3 linked regions of the Anolis sagrei genome follow. The protein of the gene in region 3 purifies or fractionates together with the protein of the main gene of each other region. This does not show direct contact. Links are inferred from orthologs where the notes say so. Each region holds a gene or a part of one and is shown on either strand. Other genes may lie near its edges.

The links.
Region 1: the proteins of CEBPB (region 3) and STAT3 purify together in Homo sapiens (affinity purification with western blotting; 3 studies listed by BioGRID, with this or other methods). This does not show direct contact. The link is inferred for Anolis sagrei from reciprocal best matches to the Homo sapiens genes CEBPB and STAT3.
Region 2: the proteins of CEBPB (region 3) and SMARCC1 purify together in Homo sapiens (affinity purification with western blotting; 3 studies listed by BioGRID, with this or other methods). This does not show direct contact. The link is inferred for Anolis sagrei from reciprocal best matches to the Homo sapiens genes CEBPB and SMARCC1.

What each region holds. Positions count from the first base shown.
Region 1 is NC_090026.1:36,809,214-36,816,278, reverse strand, and holds the start of STAT3 (signal transducer and activator of transcription 3), read left to right. Parts: upstream 1-4,027; 5' UTR 4,028-4,140; intron 4,141-7,065. UniProt on the Homo sapiens protein: Signal transducer and transcription activator that mediates cellular responses to interleukins, KITLG/SCF, LEP and other growth factors. Once activated, recruits coactivators, such as NCOA1 or MED1, to the promoter region of the target gene.
Region 2 is NC_090026.1:130,812,381-130,819,416, forward strand, and holds the start of SMARCC1 (SWI/SNF complex subunit SMARCC1), read left to right. Parts: upstream 1-3,998; 5' UTR 3,999-4,170; coding exon 4,171-4,554; intron 4,555-7,036. UniProt on the Homo sapiens protein: Involved in transcriptional activation and repression of select genes by chromatin remodeling (alteration of DNA-nucleosome topology).
Region 3 is NC_090024.1:222,094,138-222,101,589, forward strand, and holds the start of CEBPB (CCAAT/enhancer-binding protein beta), read left to right. Parts: upstream 1-4,378; 5' UTR 4,379-4,626; coding exon 4,627-5,697; 3' UTR 5,698-7,452. UniProt on the Homo sapiens protein: Important transcription factor regulating the expression of genes involved in immune and inflammatory responses. Also plays a significant role in adipogenesis, as well as in the gluconeogenic pathway, liver regeneration, and hematopoiesis.

The DNA of each region.
Region 1 (7,065 bases), on a different chromosome or scaffold from region 3:
GTCTTAGCATTGTCGGAAGGAGGACGTGGCCTTCCTGCATTACTCAGAGAAAGGTAGAGCAAATGAACTGGAAATCCCATTCATTCTCTTTCTCTGCTTAATGGGGTTGGGATGTTGTGAGAGACTAAGCCAGCAAAATGGGAAGGGCTGTAGTTAATATTGTGGTTGAGGTCACACATTCTGTCTTAACCATGTGCACATCAGTTTGGAAAAGCCCTTGGCATGAAACCTTGGAGAGCCACCATACCTGGATAGAAATACTATTGCTGAGTTGACATAAGGCAGTTCCCAGAATCTGTATAGGACAGATACTTTGACCTGCTTGCCTTGGGTTTACTCACAACTTAAATGACTTACAGATATTAAATTAATATCAAACAACCCTAAGCTACAAGTTTGGGTAACGCTACAAGGTAAAGGTAAAGGCTTCCCCTGACATTAAGTCTAGTCATATCCGACTCTGGGGGGTGATGCTCATCTCCATTTCTAAGCCAAAGAGCTGGTGTTGTCTGTAGACACCTCCAAGGTCATGTGGCCAGCATGACTATATGGTATCTATTGATCTACTCACAATTGCATGTTTTCGACCTCCAAGGTTGGCAGAAGCTGGACCTCAAAGCGGGAACTCACCTCACTCCCCCGATCCGAACTACCAACCTTTCAGTCAGCAAGTTCAGCAGCTCAGTGGTTTAACCTGTTGCGCCACAAGGGGCCCTTTGCTACAATGGGACCCCTTAAAATTGGAATACTTTAGGGCAGCAGTTCCCAAACTATGTTCCATGGAGTCTTAGGGTTCCAACAAAGCATTATTATTATTATTATTATTATTATTTACATTTCTACCCAGAGCAGCTTACACTGGCAACAGTTTGATACTGCAACAATATGACAACTATAACAGCAATATAAACAATAAATAAAACAATATAATTTAAAACAGTTAAAACATTATTATCATAATCATATAGCCATTTATATCATTATCACAACCATGTAGTCCAGTTCGACATCCAAGGTGCTGTCACGCCTGCTGGCCAAAAGCCTGGTTCCAAAACCATGATTTTAATTTCTTCCTAAAGGAAAGGAGGGATGAAGCCGACCTGATCTCACTGGGGAACGAATTCCACAGGCAGGGGGTCATCACCGAGAAGGCCCTGTCCCTCGTCCCTACCAAATGCGTTTGCAAAGCTGGTAAGACCGAGAGCAGGGCCTCCCCTGACGATCTTAAACTACAAGGCGGAACGTAGAGAGAGATACGTTTGGATAAGTAAGCTGGGCCGGAGCCATATCCAAAAATATTTCAAATCTTTAAAAAATATATTTAAAAATCTTTGCCAGAATACGAAGATCTTATTTCAATTCAATATACCTCTGCTGTAAAAGTGAAATTTGGATCTCTTAGTTTTCAAACCTACAATATACAAAACAACCAGATAACAGGAGTAGATGAAACAAAGAAGCACTTTGTGGGTTCACAGTGCTTAGGCACAGAGTTATGGTTCTGCAGGAAAATCAGGGTTCTGTGGGGGAAAACATTTTCTGAATGGTTCCATGACCAAAAAAAAGTTTGGGAATTGCTGCTGTGGGACATCTTGATTTCAGCTCTGTGATCCATCCTATCCTTGCCATTGGAGGGGCAGTGAAATGGCAAAGGCAGTTCTTTGTGCCAAGGGCAACTTCTCTTTTATGCAGTGACATTTCTTCTGGGTGACATGGCAACAGGGATTGGGCCAAGCAGCAAACTCAGTTCCCTCCAGCTGAGAAGGAAATAAAATGGGAAGTCTTTCAGAGCAAGGAGAGCAAGAAACTACCACCTAATCTTGCAAGCCATCTCTCACTCACCTCTGCCCTGAGGAGACTAAAGTGACAACTTCCTCCTTTCTCTTGTATTCTCTCTGTCTTGGGTCACAGTACAGAGAATTTGGGTAGATCTTGGAAGATTAAGTTAGGAGACAATTCTGAGAAAACCCTATTCAGCAAGGGCCAAAGGCCCAGAACAGGCATGTAGCCGGCCCGGGGGGGGGGGGGGCTTGAGGATTACCTGGGAAGGAATCCCACTGGAGCACTGCAGCACATCCAAATACCTGGGAGTCACCCTGGACCGTGCTCTGACCTACAAGAAGCACTGCCTGAATATCAACCAAAAGTGGGCGCTAGAAACAATATCATACGAAAGCTGACTGGCACAACCTGGGGATCACAACCAGACACAGTGAAGACATCTGCTTTTGTGCTATGCTACTCTGCTGCTGAGTACGCATGCCCAGTGTGGAACACTTCTCACCACACTAAAACAGTAGATGTGACTCTTAATGAGACATGCCGCATTATCACGGAGTGTCTGCGCCCTACACCACTGGAGAAATTACACTGCTTAGCTGGTATTGCACCACCTGATATCCGCCGGGAAGTAGCAGCCAATAGTGAAAGGACCAAGGCAGTGACATCTCCAGCTCATCCCTTCTTTGGGTATAGCCAGGACGTCAATGACTTAAATCAAGAAATATTCTAAGATCTACAGAGACATTCGCTGGAACACCTCAGCAAGTGAAAGTCCAAAAGTCACAGGCTCAAACCCAGAACCTTAACCACTGGCTGATACCAAATTAGAGACTCCCCCCTGGACACACAGAAGACTGGGCAACTTGGAAGGTGCTGAACAGACTGCGCTCTGGCAATCTTAAGAAATGGGGCTACAAAGTGGAATCCATGACATGCGAGTGTGGACAAGAGCAAACCACAGACCACCTGCTGCAATGCACCCTGAGCCCTGCCATATGCACAATGGAGGACCTCCTTGCGGCAACACCAGAGGCCACCTTACTTGGATCTGTGTGCATCATTCGGAAATACATCATTTGCTGTGACATACTGTATTTTTGTGTCAGTAAAATAATAGTAGTAATAATAATAATAACAATAATAATAATAATACCCACCAAACTCTTCCAGTGTGTTCTGTTGGTCATGGAAGTCATGGAAGTCCTGTATGCCATGTTTGGTTCAATTCCACCATTGGTGGAGTTCAGAATGCTCTTTGATTGCAGGTGAACTATAAATCCCAGCAACTACAACTCCCAAATGTCAAGGTCTATTTCCCTTAAACTCCATCAAGGTCAATGCCCACCAAACCCTTCCAGTGTGTTCTGTTGGTCATGGAAGTCCTGTATGCCATGTTTGGTTCAACTATAAATTCCAGTAACTACAAATCCCAAATGTCAAGGTCTATTTCCCCCGAACTCCATCTGTGTTCATATTTGGGCATATCGAGAATTCGTGCCAAGTTTGGTCCAGATCCATCATTGTTTGAGTCCACAGTGCTCTCTGGATGTAGGTGAACTACAACTCCCAAACTCAAGGTCAATGTCCACCAAACCCTTCCAGTTTTTTCTGTTGGTCATGGGAGCCCTGTGTGCTAAGTTTGGCCCAATTCCATCATTGGTGGAGTTCAGAATGCTCTTTGATTGCAGGTAAACTATAAATCCCAGCAACTACAACTCTCAAATGACAAAATCATTTTTTTTGAGTGGAGGACATACATTGGGTTGTTAGGTGTCTTGTGTCCAAATTTGGTGTCAATTCCCCCAGTGGTTTTTGAGTTTATATAGATTATATAGTATTGTATTATTATTATTATTATTATTATTATTATTATTAGGCTCCACAAGGGGATGGGATGGCTACCTAGGTGCACATGAAAGCCCTTCTCCCACTGCCTAGCCCACTCATCCCTATGTGTTCCTCTCAGCCAATCAGGAGCAGCCTAAGGATTCCAAACAGTCAGACACACACGCCCCCGCCCTCCGGGGCGAAGACAACAGCAGCGCTGCCGACGTCACACACTGCCCGGAACTCAGCTGGCTTTCCAGAAGAGCAGCGGGAGGAGGAAGCCGAGCCCGGAACAGCCCGGTGAAGAGTGAAAGCGGAGGCGCGCGCTGATTGGCCGCCGGAGAGCGCCCCCTGCCGAAGAACCCTCAGAGCGCGGCGGCGATTGGCCGGCTTCGATCAGTGTCGCCGCCGAGGGGGCGGGACTCCCCGGGAGCCAGCAGCTGGGGCAGGGCTTGGAGAGTGAGCCAGGCGGCGCTGGGGAAGGAGAGCCAGCGGAAGGGAAGTTCGGTCCCGGCGGAGGGGATTGGAAAGGTAGGCTGGAGAGGAGGCAAAGCATGTGCAGAGTGCAAACCTCTGAGATTGCTGCTCCTCTGCAACGAGGGGCATGGCTTCCAGGAAAGCTTGGAGGGACTTTCCCGTCAGTTTGAGGGCTGGGAACGGGAACACAGGAAGGAAACACGTTGCGGGAGGGAGGAGGTGGGTTTGCTGAGGGAGGGTGGGATTTGGAGTTTCCTAAGTACTACCAAACTTAACTATGGCATGCCTGATCTGCACTGTAGAAGGAATGCAGTTTGACATCACTTGATATTATTATTATTATTATGCTATAGAACAGGCATGTGCAAACTTGGGCCCTCCAGGTGTTTTGGACTCCAACTCCCAGAATTCCTAACAGCCGGGAGTTGGAGTCCAAAACACCTGGAGAGCCCAAGTTTGCCCATGCCTGGTAAAACAATACAGTATGCAGTTGTTGTTGTTGTTATTATTATTATTACTATTATTATCTGATACACAACAAGATTAGTACACAGCAAACAAGATCCCATTATTATTATTACTATTATTAGAATGCTATAGAACAGGCATGGGCAAACTTGGGCTCTCCGGGTGTTTTGGACTCCCAACTCCCAGAATTCCTAACAGCCTACCGGAGTCCAAAACACCTGGAGGGCCCAAGTTTGCCCATGCCTGGTAAAACAATACAATATACAGTTATCATTATTATTATTATCTGATACACAATAATATTAGTACACAGAAAACAAGATCACTATGTTGGCTTGTCTATTTGATCACATATCAGACATTATTGTTGTTGTTATTATGCTTATTATGCCTTCTATAGAATCACGAGAGCTGTTGTTGTCGTCATTATTATTATTATTATTATTATTATTGGTTGCTGGGAGTTTTCCAAACTGTCTGGCCATGTTCCAGAAGCATTCTCTCCTGATGTTTCACCTGCATCTATGGCAAGCATTCTCAGAGGTTGTGAGGCTTGTTCGAAACTAAGAAAGTGGGTTTTATATCCTCAGGATGCCTGCCATAGATGCAGGCGAAACGTCAGGAGAGAGTGCTTCTGGAATGTGGCCAGACAGTCTGGAAAACTCCCAACAACCCAGTGATTCCAGGCCATGAAATACTACTACTACTAATAATAATAAAACTTTATTTATACCCCGCCACCATATCCCCAAGGAGACTCGGGGTGGCTTACATGAGGCCAAGCCCAAGGGTACAGCAAATATACAACATAAATACATACAGTAAAATATAATGAGAATAAAATACAAAACAATATAACACATTATATTATATATTATAGTTATTATATATTATGGTTATTTATTTAAAGCCTGAAAAGAGACCCAAAGCGCTAACACAGGCATGAGCAAACTTCGGCCCTCCAGATGTTTTGGACTTCAACTCCCACAATTCCTAACAGCCTACCGGCTGTTAGGAATTGTGGGAATTGAAGTCCAAAACATCTGGAGGGCCAAAGTTTGCCCATGCCTGGTAAAACAACACAATATACAGTTATTATTATTATTATTATTTTGTACTCAACACGATTAGTACACAGCAATGCTGGGTTTTGCATTGGATCACACATCAGATATTATTATTATTATTATTATTATTTATACCTTGCTGATTCTCTCCCCAAGGTGACTCAAAGCGGCTAAAAACACAGGTAAAGGTAAAGGTTTTCCCCTGATATTAAGTCCAGTTGTGTCCAACTCTGGAGGGTGGTGCCCATCTCCATTTCTAAGCCGAAGAGTCAGCGTTGTCCATAGACACCTTCAAGGTCATGTGGCCTGCATGACTGCATGGAGCACCGTCATCTTCCTGCCGAAGTGGTACCTACTGATCTGCTCACATTTGCATGTTTTCAAACTGCTAGGTTGACAGAAGCTGGGGCTAACATTGGTAGCTCATGCTGCTCCCCAGATTTGAACTTGTGACCTTTTGGTCAGCAAGTTCAGCAGCTCAGTGGTTTAACCCACTAAACACTAAAATACGATTAAACATCACAACTACTTAGATCAACAGTTAAAACCTATTAACATGCCTAAAAATGCTATACAGTTTAACCAGCTGTCTCCGCCAAAGAGTGATGGCATCCTACAACTCCCATGATTCCATAGTATTGAGTCATGGCGGGGAAAGTGATGTTAAACTGCATTCGTTCTACAATGTTGACATACAGTTGGCCATTGAACCCACATCTGAACCTGAAATGTTTTTTTTGTTTCATATGTACTTCATATATACTTTAAGGGGCTGCAGTGGCACAGCGGGTTAAACCGCTAAGCTGCAGAACTTGCTGATCAGAAGGTTGGCGGTTTGAATCCGCATCCAGGGTGAGCTTTCGTTGTTAGCTGTAGCTCCTGCCAACCTAGCAGTTTGAAAACATGGAATGCCAGGGCATAGTCAATGAGGGCAGTGACATTATAGTTTCCGTTTCTTTTTTCTTCTGCACTTCTGGGGGCCACGGTGGTGCAACACATTAAACCGTTGAGCTGCTGAACTTCCTGACTGGAAGGTCGGCAGTTCAAATCTGCAGACAGGATGAGCTCCTGTTGTTAGCCCCAGTTTCTGCCAACCTAGCAATTTGAAAACATGCAAATGTGAGTAGATCAATAGGTACCACCTCAATATGAAGGGAATGGTGCTCCATGCAGTCAAGCTGGCCACATAACCAATGAGGCGTCTGTGGACAATGCTGGCTCTTCGGCTTAGTAATGGAGATGAGCACCATCCCCCCAGAGTCAGGCACGACTAGACTTAATGTCAAGGGGAAATCTTAACCTTTATACTTTACACACCCACTCTGAAAGTAAATGTATACAGTATTTTCAATATTTTTCCCATGAAATAAAGTTTATGTGCATTGAACCGTCAGAATGCAAAGGTATCACTCTCTCGGCCATCCATGTGGACAATTTTGGGTTT
Region 2 (7,036 bases), on a different chromosome or scaffold from region 3:
ATTATCATTAAAGTGGATATGTTTCTAATTAAGAAAAGGAAATCTGTTGATGTTTGCGATAAACCCCATGGAACAGCTATGGAGTTCCAGGAATCACCGGTAATACAGAAGTGTAAAGGAGAAATGTCCAAAATTTGGATGATATGAAACATACATTATATATACAATTTATATTTTATAGCATATGCACATATATATTATAATACATGTGTATTGCAAGAAACTCTTATAAGAGTTTGGTTTAACCCCCAGTTTGCTAGTAAAACCGACGGTGTCGCAAAAGGATGCATCTCAGAATGTGGAAAGTTTTGATTCACACTTATGGCATCACTCTCCTAGTTTTTCTGGCAAGATTTACCCCAAGGAGGTTTGTCATTTCCTTCCTCACCTTAAGTCTGAGAGAGTGGGATTTACCCAAAGGCAACCAGTAGATTCCCAAGGCTGAGCAGGAACCGGAATCCAGTGCTCAGAACCATTGCGCTAGGCTGGCTTTCTCATGCTGCGTCATGCCAGATATTATTTTATTTGTCACTCACCACTCCTCACTACTTGAGGAAGGCCACAGCAGTTAAAACATCTCACACAGAGAGACAGATACACACACACACATATGAAAGAAAATGATATAAAGACATCCAATAATGATTGGATGTCAATATAAAATTATTGGTTTAATATTGGGTAGGCGTTTTATGAGCATTTAGGGGTGTCCCTTATTTCACAAATAACCTTTCAGAAGGATGCAATTGGGCATTTCTTTCTTATCGTGTCAGGAGCGAACCCAACAGTTGTACTGCATTAAAAACAAAACACAAAATTTGTAAACTTGGTATTCTATTAAATGTCCTTTGACCATAATCTGGCCACTTGGAGTGCCTCTGGTGTTGCTGTGAGAAGGTCCTCCATTGTGCCTGTGGCAGGGCTCAGGTTGCATTGCAGCAGGTGGTCAGTGGTTTGCTCTTCTCCACACTCGCATGTCGTGGATTCCACTTTGTGGCCCCATTTCCGAAGGCTGGCTCTGCATCTCGTGAAACAATATCATACGAAAGCTGACTGGCACAACCTGGTGATCACAACCAGACACAGTGAAGACATCTGCCCTTGCGCTGTGCTACTCTGCTGCTGAGTACGCATGCCCAGTGTGGAACACATCTCACCACGCTAGAACAGTGGGTGTGGCTCTTAATGAGACATGCCGCATTATCATGTGGTGTCTGCGCCCCACACGACTGGAGAAATTATACTGTTTAGGTGGTTTTGCAACACCTGACATCTGCCGGGAAGTAGCAGCCAATAGTGAAAGGACCAAGGCAGCTCATTCCTTGTTTGGGTATCAGCCAGCATGTCGACGACTTAAATCTAGACATAGTTTTCTTAGATCTACAGAGACACTCGCTGGAACACCCCAGCAAGCAAAAGTCATAGAATCATAGAATCAAAGAGTTGGAAGAGACCTCATGGGCCATCCAGTCCAACCCCATTATGCCAAGAAGCAGGAATATTGCATTCAAATCACACCTGACAGATGGCCATCCAGCCTCTGCTTAAAAGCTTCCAAAGAAGGAGCCTCCACCACACTCCGGGGCAGAGAGTTCCACTGCTGAACGGCTCTCACAGTCAGGAAGTTCTTCCTCATGTTCAGATGGAATCTCCTCTCTTGTAGTTTGAAGCCCTTGCTCCATTGTGTCCTAGTCTCCATGGAAGCAGAAAACAAGCTTGCTCCCTCCTCCCTGTGGCTTCCTCTCACATATTTATACATGGCTATCATATCTCCTCTCAGCCTTCTCTTCTTCAGGCTAAACATGCCCAGCTCCTTAAGCCGCTCCTCATAGGGCTTGTTCTCCAGACCCTTGATCATTTTAGTCGCCCTCCTCTGGACACATTCCAGCTTGTCAATATCTCTCTTGAATTGTGGTGCCCAGAATTGGACACAATATTCCAGGTGTGGTCTAACCAAAGCAGAATAGAGCATGGGGAGCATTACTTCCCTAGATCTAGACACTATGCTCCTCTTGATGCAGGCCAAAATCCCATTGCCTTTTTTTGCCGCCACATCACACTGTTGGCTCATGTTTAACTTGTTGTCCACGAGGATTCCAAGATCTTTTTCACACGTACTGCTCTCGAGCCAGGCATCACCCATTCTGTATCTTTGCATTTCATTTTTTCTGCCAAAGTGGAGTATCTTGCATTTGTCACTGTTGAACTTCATTTTGTTAGTTTTGTCCCATCTCTCTAATCTGTCAAGATCGTTTTGAATTCTGCTCCTGTCCTCTGGACTATTGGCTATCCCTCCCAAGTCCAAAAGTGGCAGGCCCAAACCCAGCACCTCAACCAATGGCTGATCCCAAATGAGAGACTCCCCCTTCCTGGGCACACTGAGGACTGGGCGACCTGGAAGGCACTGAACAGACTGCGCTCTGGCACCACAAGATGCAGAGCCAACCTTCAGAAATGGGGCCACAAAGTGGAATCCTCGATATGCGAGTGTGGAGAGGAGCAAACCACTGACCACCTGCTGCAATGCACCCTGAGCCCTGCCACATGCACAATGGAGGACCTTCTTGAGGCAACACCAGAGGCACTCCAAGGGGCCAGAGACTGGTCAAAAGACATTAAATCAACTACCAAACTCGCAAATTTTGTATTTTGTCTGTTTGCTTTGTTCTGTTAGAAATGTAATATAATGGACTGGCTGCCCTGACACGAAATAAATAAATCACTACTATTTGCGTTATTGTTCACTATTATATCACTATTATATGCACTATTGTTCACTATTATATCACTATTGTTCTTTGACTAGGTTGTCTCTTATTTTGTATGTATATATATGTATGTATGTATCTCAATCTCCCTATAGAGACACCTGTGAGAGTCTTCTCCTCCTTCTGCCTTTTTGGTCCTCCTCCTCCTCCTCCTTCAGGCCTGCCTTTTTCCCGCCAAATGTGTCCTGGACAGGTCAAGCGGAAATGTCCACTCTGGGTCACTTCCTGTGCGGCCACTCCTTCCGCCGCGCCCGCCTTGCTCTCGTCTCCTCTCCGGGGAAAGACACAAAAGCGACCCTCTCGGTGGCCCTCTCTCCCTCACAACCAGGCCTTCCCCGCTTGGCTTCCCCTCGCGCATGCGCGGATGGAGGAGAGAGAGCCACACAAAGGCGAGGGGAGGGGTTGATACGCATGCGCGAGCGAGGCCCAGCACACTAAAACTCCCGATGTTAAGTACGCATGCGCGAGCGAGGCTCAGAGTACGAAAAAAAGTGCAGGCGATGTCGTGTACGCATGCGCGAGTGAGGCCCAAAACAAAAAATAATCTGGTGGTGTTGAGTACGCATGCGCAAGCGAGTCCCAGCGAACAAAAAAAAGTGCTGGAGATATTGTGTACGCATGCGCGATTGAGACCCAAAACACAATAAAGTCTGGCGATGTTGAGCACGCATGCGCGAATGAGGCTCAGAAAGAAAAAAAAGTATCGATGTTGTGTACGCATGCGCGAGTGAGGCCCATAAAGAAAAAAATGTGCTGATAATGTTGTATACGCATGCGCCAGTGAGGCCCAGAAGAAAAAAAGTATCGATGTTGTGTACGCATGCGTGAGCGAGGCCTAGAAAGGAAAAAAAATGCTCTGCTGATTTTGTGTACGCATGCGCCAGTGAGACCCAGAAAGAAAAAAAGTGTCCATGTTGTGTACGCATGCGTCAGTGAGACCTAGCAAGAAAGAAAAAGTATCGATGTTGTGTACGCATGCGCGAGCGATGCCTAGAAAGAAAAAAAATGCTGTGCTGATGTTGTATACGCATGCGTGAGTGAGGCCCAGAAGGAAAAAAAAGTGTCCATGTTGTGTACGCATGCGCGAGCGAAGCGAAAGCCTTACAAAGAAAAGAGCTTTGGTGGTCTTGTGCAGGCATGCGCAGGAGAGAAAGACTCTCCTCCCTGTCTGCGCATGCGCCCCTGTTGCGTAGGGGAAAGCCGGCGTGGGAGGGGAAGGCGGAGGCGCGTCGCGAGCGCTCGGCGCCTTGAGGGGAGGGAGGGAGCGCGAGGTCGGACTGCGCGTGCGCGCGGGGCGAGAGAGAGAGAGCGAGCGAGAGATTGAGCGAGAGAGAGAGAGAGAGAGGGTGGCGGCGGCGTGGGAGGCAGGCGCGGCGGCGTCTCCTTCCCGCGGGCTCTGCGCATGCGCGGGGCCGGGAGAGAGGGAGGCGAAGGGCCCCGGCTGAGGCGGCGGTGGCGGCGGCGCAGGAGGCCGCGCGGGAGGCCCGGAAGGACCATGGCGGCCCACACCACGGCCACCGCCAACACCAACCCCACCCCCTCGGGCCAGCCAGGCTCAGCGGCAGGAGGAGGCGGAGGAGGGAGCGGAGTAGGCCCCGCTGAGGGCCCGCCCGCCTCAGGCCTCTCCTCGGCCTCCTCAGCCTCCTCGTCGTCGTCCTCCTCCTCGGGCCCTCCCGCCGTGTCGCGGCGCAAGGACGGAGGCCCCGCGGGGAAGTTCTGGGAGAGCTCCGACACCGCCGCCCAGCTCGACGCCGCACGACTCTGGCTTGGGAAGCACTGCAAGAAGGTGAGGCCTTCCTTTGTCCCCCAACTTGGGCCTTTGGACTCCAACTCCCAACATTCCTCACAGCCTCAGGACCCTTCCTTTTCCCCCTCAGACGCTTAAGCGGCTGAGGGGGGAAAGGAAAGGGCCTGAGGCTGCGAGGAATGGTGGGAGTTGGAGTCCAAAGCCCCTGAGGCGTGGCCTAGCATTATTTCTGTACCTTAGTGTCATTAATTTGGTTCCCTTTGTGTCCCTTTGAGGCTGAGAAAGTGTCACTTGGTATGTGTATGTGGGGTAGGCTTCCTTTATTTCTTTGTTTACATCTCTGACTCCTTAATTTGGTTCCCTTTGTGTCCCTCTGAGGCTGAGAGAGTGTCACTTGATATGTGTGTGGGAGGGGAAGGCTTCCTTTATTTGTTTGTTTACATTTATATGCTGGCGAAGGGGACTCAGAGTGGCTTACAAGTCATATTGGACATAAAGCATACTATATTATTTTTAAACATTCATAGAATCATAGACTCAAAGAGTTGGAAGAGACCTCGTGGGCCATCCAGTCCAACCCCATTCTGCCAAAAAAGCAGGAATATTGCATTCAAAGCACCCCTGACAGGTGGCCATCCAGCCTCTGTTTAAAAGCTTCCAAGGAAGGAGCTAGACACTATACATCTATTTATAGTGAGGAATTGTGGGAATTGGAGTCCAAAGCCCCTGAGGCCTGGTCTAGCGTTAATTCTGTGCCTTAGTGTCATTTCTGACTCATTAATTTGGTTCCATTTGTGTCCCTTTGAGGCTGAGAGAGTGTCACTTGGTATGTGTATGTGGGGAAGGCTTCCTTTGTTTGTTTTCGACATTTATATCCTGGCGAAGGGGATTCAGAGTGGTTTACAAGTCATATAGACATAAGACATACTATAGTATTATTATTAAACATACTATATATTCTTTTCTGTCTCCCTCAGGGTGAGGGAGTGTCACTTGTATGTGTGGGGAAAGGCTTCCTTTGTGTCTCTCTGAGGCTGAGAGAGTGTCACTTGATATATGTGTGTGTGAGAGAGAGAGGGGGGAAGGCTTCCTTTCTGTCCCTCTGAAGCTGAGAGAGTGTCACTTATACGTGGGGAAAGGCTTCCTTTGTATCTCTCTGAGGTTGAGAGAGTGTCACTTGTGTGAGTTAGGAAAGCCCCCTTAGTGTCCCTCTGAGGTTGAGAGATTGTCAATTGATGTGTGTGTGCCTTCAGATCCTTTCTCTTCTGTGGCCAGCCTAGAGCAGGGTTTTCTTGAACCAGTTGAATCTTTTGTGTCTCTCTTAGGCTGAGAGAGTGTCAATTCTGTGTGTGTGAGAGAGGAAGGCTCCTTTTGTGTCCCTCTAAGCCTGAGAGAGTGCCACTTCTATGTGTTATGAAGGTTCCCTTGGTGTCCCACTGAGGCTGAGAGAGTGTCACTTGTGTGTGAGGGGGAAGGCACCCTTTGTGTCCCTCTTAAGCTGAGAGAGTGTCACTTGATATGTGTGTGTGGGGAAGGTTGTCTTTGTGTTCCTCTGAGGCCGAGAGACTGTCACTTGATGTGTGTGTGTGTGAGGAGGGCTACTTTTGTGTCCCTCTTAGAATGAGAGAGTGTCACTTGATATGTGTGTGTGTGTGGGGGGGGGGGAGTTTCCATTGTGTCACTCTGAGGCTGAGAGAGTGTCACTTAATATGAGTGTGCCTTCAGGTCATTTCTCTAGCAAGCCTAGAGTAGGGTTTTCTTGAACCAATTGAGTCTTTTGTGTCACTCTTAGGCTGAGAGAGTGTCACTTGATATGTGTGTCAGGAAGGCTCCCATTGTGTCCCTCTGAGGCTGAGAGAGTGTCACTTGATATGTGTGTCAGGAAGGCTCCCTTTTTGTCCCTTTGAGGCTGAGAGAGTGTCACTTGATATATGTGTGTGGCGAAGGTTGCTTTTGTGTCCCTCTGAGGATGAGAGAGTGCCACTTCATGTCACAGGGAGGAGGGAGCAGGCTTCCTTTCTGCTTCCCAGGAGACTAAGATGCAATGGAAGAATGGCTTCAAACTACAAGAAAGGAGATTCCATCTGAACATGAGGAAGAACTTCCTGACTGTGAGATCCGTGCAGCAGTGTGTGGTGGAGGCTCCTTCTTTGGAGGATTTTAAACAGAGGCTGGATGGCCATCTGCCAGGGGTGCTTTGAATGCAATATTCCTGCCTCTTGGCAGAATGGGGTTGGATGGCCCATGAGGTCTCTTCCAACTCTAGGATTCTATGATTCTATGTATGCCTGGGGAAGGCTCCCTTTGTGTCCCTCTTAAGCTGAGAGAGTGTCATTTGATATGTGTGTGTGAGGAAGGATCCCTTTTTGTCCCTCTTAGGCTGAGAGAGTGTCACTTGATATGTGTGTGCCTTCAGGTCATTACTCTTCTGTGGCAAGCCTAGAGCATGGTTTTTTCTTGAACCAATTGATTCTTTTGTGTCCCTCTGAGGCTGAGAGAGTGTCACTTGATATCTGTGTGT
Region 3 (7,452 bases):
CCAAAGTCTCACTTTTAAGAAAAATATTTTATTATATTTTGTTTTGAATTCAGGTGCTAATATGGCTTCTTTACCCAAATCATCTTCCTTTTCCTTTATGGTGGGTATCTACAACTGAATAAGAAACCATAAATAAATGAAGAGTTCTGAAGTGGAAAGGGCTTCTGTTTTCCCTGGTCAGTTAAAAACCAAATATTTTAATTTTGACTCTTGGACCCTTCCCTGTTTGTTACTAGACCTCTCATTATTGGAGCGTTTCAATTCATCCTTCTTGAAAGCACACTCTACACGCTTATTCCAAAATGAGTTCAATTACATTTGATGGATCTTAGTTCCTTCCCAGTTTGGTGTCCTGTTGGACTAACAACTCCATCGTTCCCATTTGCCATGACTATGTTTATCTGGCGTAATGGGAGCTGATGTAGTAGTTTGGGGTGTTGTGCTTAAGACTAGGGTTTGAACCTTTGCTTTACCTAGAAACTCAGTAAGGTTCTTGGGCAACTCACACTCTCTCAATCTTGGAGGAAGGAAAAGGAAAACCCTCTCTGGACAAGTCTTTCCAAGAAAAAACAGTAGAAGTCGAAAATTATTTGAAGGTACAAAACAATAGCAATAAGGTTGGTGGAAGACTGCAAGCAAGCATGTTTTGAACTGCGGCCTGAAACACATAAAGGAAACTACGACAAATTTGGTGAACTGGATCCATTTACTTGTGGACTCAGAACAGTTTTTTTTAATTGTGTCAGAAGTGAATTGAGAATATACTGCAAGTCGCTTCTGGTGTAAGAGAACTGGCCGTCTGCAAGGATGTTGCCCTGGGAAGGCCCGGCTGTGTCACCATCCTATGGGAGGCTTTTCTCTTGTCCCTGCATGTGAAGCTGGGGCTGACAGACAGGAGCTCACTCCAACTTGCAGATTCGAACTGCCAACCTTCAGATCTTCAAGTCAGTTGGCACAAGGGTTTAACCCATTGCGCAACCACGGCTCCCACTCAGAACAGTATCTAGCAAGAAGGGCAGAGAGTGCATGCCAGGTATTGCATTTCTCCCCTTCTTCCAAATTCCTGACATCTCCACTCTCCAGGAATAGAATGCTGGGTGTGCCAGTTTCCAATGGGACTTCCTCTTCACCAGAGATTGGCCAAGTTCCTCTTTGAGCTACAGCTACCACTAGACCTTCTCTAGAAAGTAACTTTGCGGAGGCCTCAACATATTGCGACCCACTGGCACAGTGGTCTTAGGTGTATTTCATGAAGTCATAGAGTTGAAAGAGGCCACAAAGGCCATCCAGTCCAACCCATTCTGTCACGAAGGAACATATAATGAAAGCACCCCTGACAGATCGCCATTCAGCCTCTGCTTAAAAACCTGCAGAGAATGAAACTCCACCACTCTCTGAGAAGGCAGCATATTCCATTGCCCATCACTTCCTATTAGGACACATAAATAAATTCCCATTGAGCTTGGTAGGACAACTCTGCCACATGAACAATACTAAAGACAATTCTTATTTTATCCTTTCTTTCTTAAAAAGTAGAACGATGCCAAATTGATGGTGCCTTTTCCAATCTGTGCTCCAAATGGATCTGTCTGTCCAAAGTCACTTGCAAAGATCTCTCCCACATCAAAGAAAACAGACTCTCAGGCAGAGAAGTTGCAACGTTTTCCTCCTTGGATCTTATGCTTGAGGAAATGACCTCCCCCCACGCTCTGCCATCAAACCACATCTTGTTTTTATTTCAGTGGCCCTCGGTATCTACTGGGATTTGGTTCCTATTATATACAACTCACATTATAAACAGGGTAGCCAAAAGTCATAAAGAGGGTTACATATTTAATAACACCATAGAAAAGGCAAAGGTTTCCCCTGACATTAAGTCTAGTCATGTCCGACTCTGGGGGATGGTGCTCCATTTCCATTTCTAAGCCAAAGAGCTGGCGTTGTCTTTGGTCGGCATGATTGCATGGAGCGCCGTTACCTTCCCGCAGAAGAAGTACCTATTGATATATTCACATTTGCATGTTTTTTTTAACTGCTAGGTTGGCAGAAGCAGGAGCTCACCCTGCTCCTCAGATTCAAACCACCAACCTTTCAGTCAGCAAGTTCAGCAGCTCAGCGGTTTAACCTGCTGCACCATCAGGGGACCCCTATCATTCACATATGAAAAATGCATTACATGATGTGGCCCACCCTATGCAATGATATTGGTGTCCATTAAAATGCAAAAACCAAGCTTGGATATACATTTTTGGTCAGATCTATGGATGCAGAACCTGTGGATATTTGGGGGCGGGGCAGATAAGGTAGCAAAATAATGTCTAAATGATAGACAAATGCAAAGACAAAGGTTGGAATAAAATAATATATTTATTTATTTATTATTTGAACTTATATGCCGCCACTCCCCTGGGGCTCGGAGCGGCTTACAAGAACAGGCTAAAATCGAACACAAAAAATTAAACATTGCAACCTTGAATTTTGGAATCATACACCCATATTTCCACCTTGATTTTTGGAATAATTGAATTGAAATATATGTACACACACACACACACACACATTCCCACTTTGATTTTTGGAATATTTGAATATGTATAAACATGAAAGGTTGCAGGTTTGAATCTGGGGAGCGGGGTGAGCTCCCACTGTTAGCCCCATCTTCTGCCAACCTAACAGTTCGAAAACTTGGAAGTGTGAGTAGAGCAATAGGTACCACTCCATGCGGTCATGCCGGCCACATGACTGTAGAGGTATCTACAGACAACGCCAGTTCTTTGGCTTAGAAATGGAAATGAGCACCACCCCCCAGAGTCAGATACGACTCTATCTATCTATCTATCTATCTATCTATCTATCTATCTATCTATCTGATATGTACATACATACATACATACATACATATAAAACATGCATATTCAATTATTCCAAAAACTCAAGGTGGGAACTTGTATGCGTGTACATACACACACAGCATGATTTTTGGAAGAAGTGAATGTGATACACACACACATACCCAACCTTGAGTCTTGATTTTTTGCATTTGTAGATAATGGACACTATTATACTATCCTATACAGAATGGAATAGTGGCAAGCTGAGGAGAGTTGCAAGTAATGACAGTGGTCGCAGGTTTGAATCCGGGGAGTGTGGTGAGCTCCTGCTGTTAATCCCAGCTTCTGCCAACCTAGCAGTTTGAAAACATGCACATATGAGTAGATCAATAGGTACCGCTCCATGCAGTCATGCCGGCCATATGACCTTGGAGGTGTCTATGGACAATGCTGGCTCTTCAGCTTAGAAATGGAGATGAGCACCACCCCCCAGAGTCAGACACGACTGGACTTAAGGTCAGGAGAAAACCTTCACCTTTACCTATCTATCTACCTATCTATATATAAACGTGCATATTCAATTAGTCCAAAAAATCAAGGAGTGGGTGTGTTGAATAACGCATATTCAATTATTCCAAAAATCAAGGTGGGAATTTGTATCCGTGTATACACACACACACACACACACACATGCTGGCACACACACATACACACCTTGATTTTTGGAATAAGTGAATGTGATATACACACACATACCAAACATTGAGTCTTGATTTTTTGCATTTGTAGATAATAGACACTATTATACTATCCTATACAGAATGGATACACACACACACATACACACACACATGCTGGCACACACACACACACCTTGATTTTTGGAATAAGTGAATGTGATACACATATACAGACATTCCCAAACTGAGTGGGTGTGTATACATATAACGCATATTCAATTATTCCAAAAATCAAGGTGGGAATTTGTATGTGTGTATACACACACACATGCTGGCACATACACACACACACCCCTTGATTTTTGGAATAAGTGAATGTGATACACACACACACATACCAAACCTTGAGTCTTGATTTTTTGCATTTGTAGATAATGGACACTATTATACTATCCTATACAGAATGGATATATATAGATATATATAGATATATATATATATATACACACACACACACCTTGATTTTTGGAATAAGTGAATGTGATACACATATACAGACATTCCCAACCTTGAGTCTTGATTTTTTGCATTTGTAGATAATGGACACTATTATACGATCCTATAAGTGGCAATCCGCGGAGAGTTGAGCCCGTGCGGGTTCAGAGACCTCGGAGGCGGTGTCCCGGGACGGGAGGCGTCGCCAAGAGCTGGGGAGCCTCCCCCTTGGGCCAGCCCTCTGCGCAGGCGCAGTAGAGGCGCGCCGGGCTCCTTGGGCGTCCCTCCTTCTGCAAGGAAAGGAAGGAGGGAAGGCTTGAGGAAAGCAGGAGGGAGGCGGGCGGCGCGTGCGGGCCCGTGACGTGTGGCGGTTGCCATGGGACGCGCCGCCCCTATAAAGACCCGCGCGCCAAGGCACTTTCCCAACAAAGTCCAGAGAGGAGGAGAGCAAAGAGGAGAAGGAAGAGGAGGAAGAGAAAGGGAAGGAGGCAGCGTGAAACCTTGGGAGGAAAGGAAAGAGCAAGGGAGAGGGAAGGACGAAAGAGAGGGTTTAGAGAGAGGCGGCTCCCCTTCCCTCCCTCGCTCCCTCCCTGCGTGGACTCGGGGCTTTGGGAGCTTTCATGAAACGCCTGGTGGCCTGGGACCAGGCATGCCTCCCTCTCCCGCCCTCGGCCTTTAAATCCATGGAAGTGGCCAACCTCTACTACGAGACGGACTGTCTGCCGGCGGCCGTGAGCAAGCTGCACGCGCGGGGAGGGCCCGTGGGGGCCCCGCGGCCCATGTCCGAGCTGAGCCTGGGCGAGCACGAGCGGGCCATCGACTTCAGCCCTTACCTGGACCCGCTGGCCTCGCAGCACCCGCACCAGCACGCGCCTCCTCCACCCGCGGCCACGGCAGGGGGCAACTTCGAGCCGCTTCCCTCCGGCAACAACCACAACAGCAGCAGCAGCAGCAACCCGGACTTCCTCTCCGACCTTTTCTCCGAGCAGGACTACAAAGCCGGGAAGAAGCAGCAGCACCAGCAGCAGCAGCAGCAGCACCCCGACTACACCTACATCAGCCTGGCCAAGCATAGCCACCACCCGCACCTCCACCAGGGCCAGAAGGCCTCTCTCTTGGGCTGCTTCTCGCCTCACATGGTGGAGACCAAAGTGGAGCCCGTCTTCGAGCACTTGGACTCGTGCAAAGCCGGCCCGCGCAAGGAGGACGCCGGCGGGGGAGGCGCGGCGGCCCTCGGGGGCCTCTCCTCGCCTTACGGCAGCGCCGTCCGCTCCTACTTGGGCTACCAGTCGGTGCCCAGCGGGAGCAGCGGGAACCTTTCCACCGCCTCTTCCTCCAGCCCGCCGGGGACCCCCAACCCTTCGGATTCCTCCAAGTCCGGAGGCAACCACTACGCGGCCTCGGGAGGAGGGAGCAACGGCGGCGGCGGGAAGAGCAAGTCCAAGAAGTCCCTGGACAAGCACAGCGAGGAGTACAAGATCCGGCGCGAGCGCAACAACATCGCCGTCCGCAAGAGCCGCGACAAGGCCAAGATGCGCAACCTGGAGACGCAGCACAAGGTGCTCGAGCTCACCGCCGAGAACGAGCGGCTCCAGAAGAAGGTCGAGCAGCTCTCCCGGGAGCTCGGCACCCTCCGGAACTTGTTCAAGCAGCTCCCCGAGCCCCTCTTGGCCAACGCCGGGCACTGCTAGCCCGCGGAGACTCGGCCTCCCTTTGGACTCCCTGCTGGGAAAGGGATTGGGGAGAGGAGGGGGGGGGGCAAAGGATGCCAAAAAGAGAAGCCAAAAGGGCTCTTCCTCCTCCAGAGTGGAATGCAGAAACAGAGGCTGGAGGGCCATCTGTCGGGGGTGCTTTGAATGCCATTTTCCTGCTTCTTGGCAGGGGGTTGGACTGGGTGGCCCATGAGGGCTCTTCCAACTCTGTGATTCTATGGAAAAGTTTGGGGTTTGTGGATTTGTTGTGTTGCCTTTCTTCCTGCCTTCCCTTCTTCTCCAAGGAGGCCTCCTTTAGACTACTTTCTCAAACTCTTCCCGGCCCAGCATGTTGGACTTCAGCGCCCAAATTCCCCGCACATTAGTCCTGGGAGCTGAAGTCCAAAGCGCATGGCAGAGAGAAGGTGATAGTATGATAGCTGGGTCCGAAGCTCTGAGCCTTACGCTGTTTCTGCTCCTTTGGGAGCACTGTTTGCGCAACGCAGAACAAACACAGATATTATAGAAGGAATGTAAGAGTTCTTTAATGGTAAAACCCTAACCCTTATGCAAAACCTTACCCTTACCCCTAATCCTAGCCCAAACCCTAATCCTAACCCAAACCCTAAACCTTACCCTAAGCCTAGCTCCTAACCCCTAATCCTAACCCTACCCCAAACCCTAACCCGAAACCTTATCCTAACTCTCCCCTCCTTTCTGTCCTTCCACCAAATGCAACTACTAAGTATATTCCCAGCGTCAGTGTTCTGCTCTCCCCTTCCCTTATCCGCATCCGCCATTGCGGAATGTGCACAATGCTCAGAGCTTCCGGACCCAGCTATCATACTATCACCAAGAGAAGTTTGTACATTGTGGAATTGATTCAGTTCAATGTGTTGTCAAAGGCTTTCGTGGCCAGAATCACTGGGGCCCCTTCCACACAGCTGAATAAGATCCCACGCTATCTGCTTTGAACTGGATATATGGAAGTGTGGACTCAAATAACCCAGTTCAAAGCAGATATTGTGGGTTATTCTGCCTTGATATTATGGGAGATAAGGCTGTGTGGAAGGGCCCTGGGTTGCTGGGTTGCTTTCCCAGGCTGTATGGCCATGTTCCAGAAGCATTCTCTCCTGACATTTCGCCTGCATCTATGGCAGGCATCCTCAGAGGTGGTGAGACCTCTGGAACATGACCGTTCAGTCCGGAAAACTCACAACAACCCAGTGGTTCAGTTCAGTTGGAGACCACTTTTGACTGCCATGGCTCGATGCTGCTAGAACCTGGGAGCTGCAGTTTCCCAAGGTCTGCCAAAGAGGAGATTAGCACCTTAGGGAGTTGAGCATGTATCAGGCCAACTTGAGCCTGCCAGGTGTTTTGGACTTCACCTCCCACAATTCCTAACAGCCTCAGGCCCCTTCCTTTTCCCCCTCAGCTGCTTAAGCGGCTGAGGGGGAAAAGGAAAGGACCAGAGGCTGTTAGGAATTGTGGGGCTTGAAGTCCAAAACACCTGGAGGGCCCAAGTTGGCCCATACCTGATCTACACACTGTAGAACTAATAATAATAATAATAACAACAATAGCAATAATAACTTTTATTTGCTATCTGCCTCTCCTCACAGCTTGAGGCAAGTAAAGACAGTGGAGTTTCCATCTCTGGAGGGTTTGGATGGCCATCTATCAGGAGTGCTTTGGTTTATGGCAAGGAGTTTGAACTGCATAGTTTTTGTGGTCTCTTAACCTTTTCTGAAAATG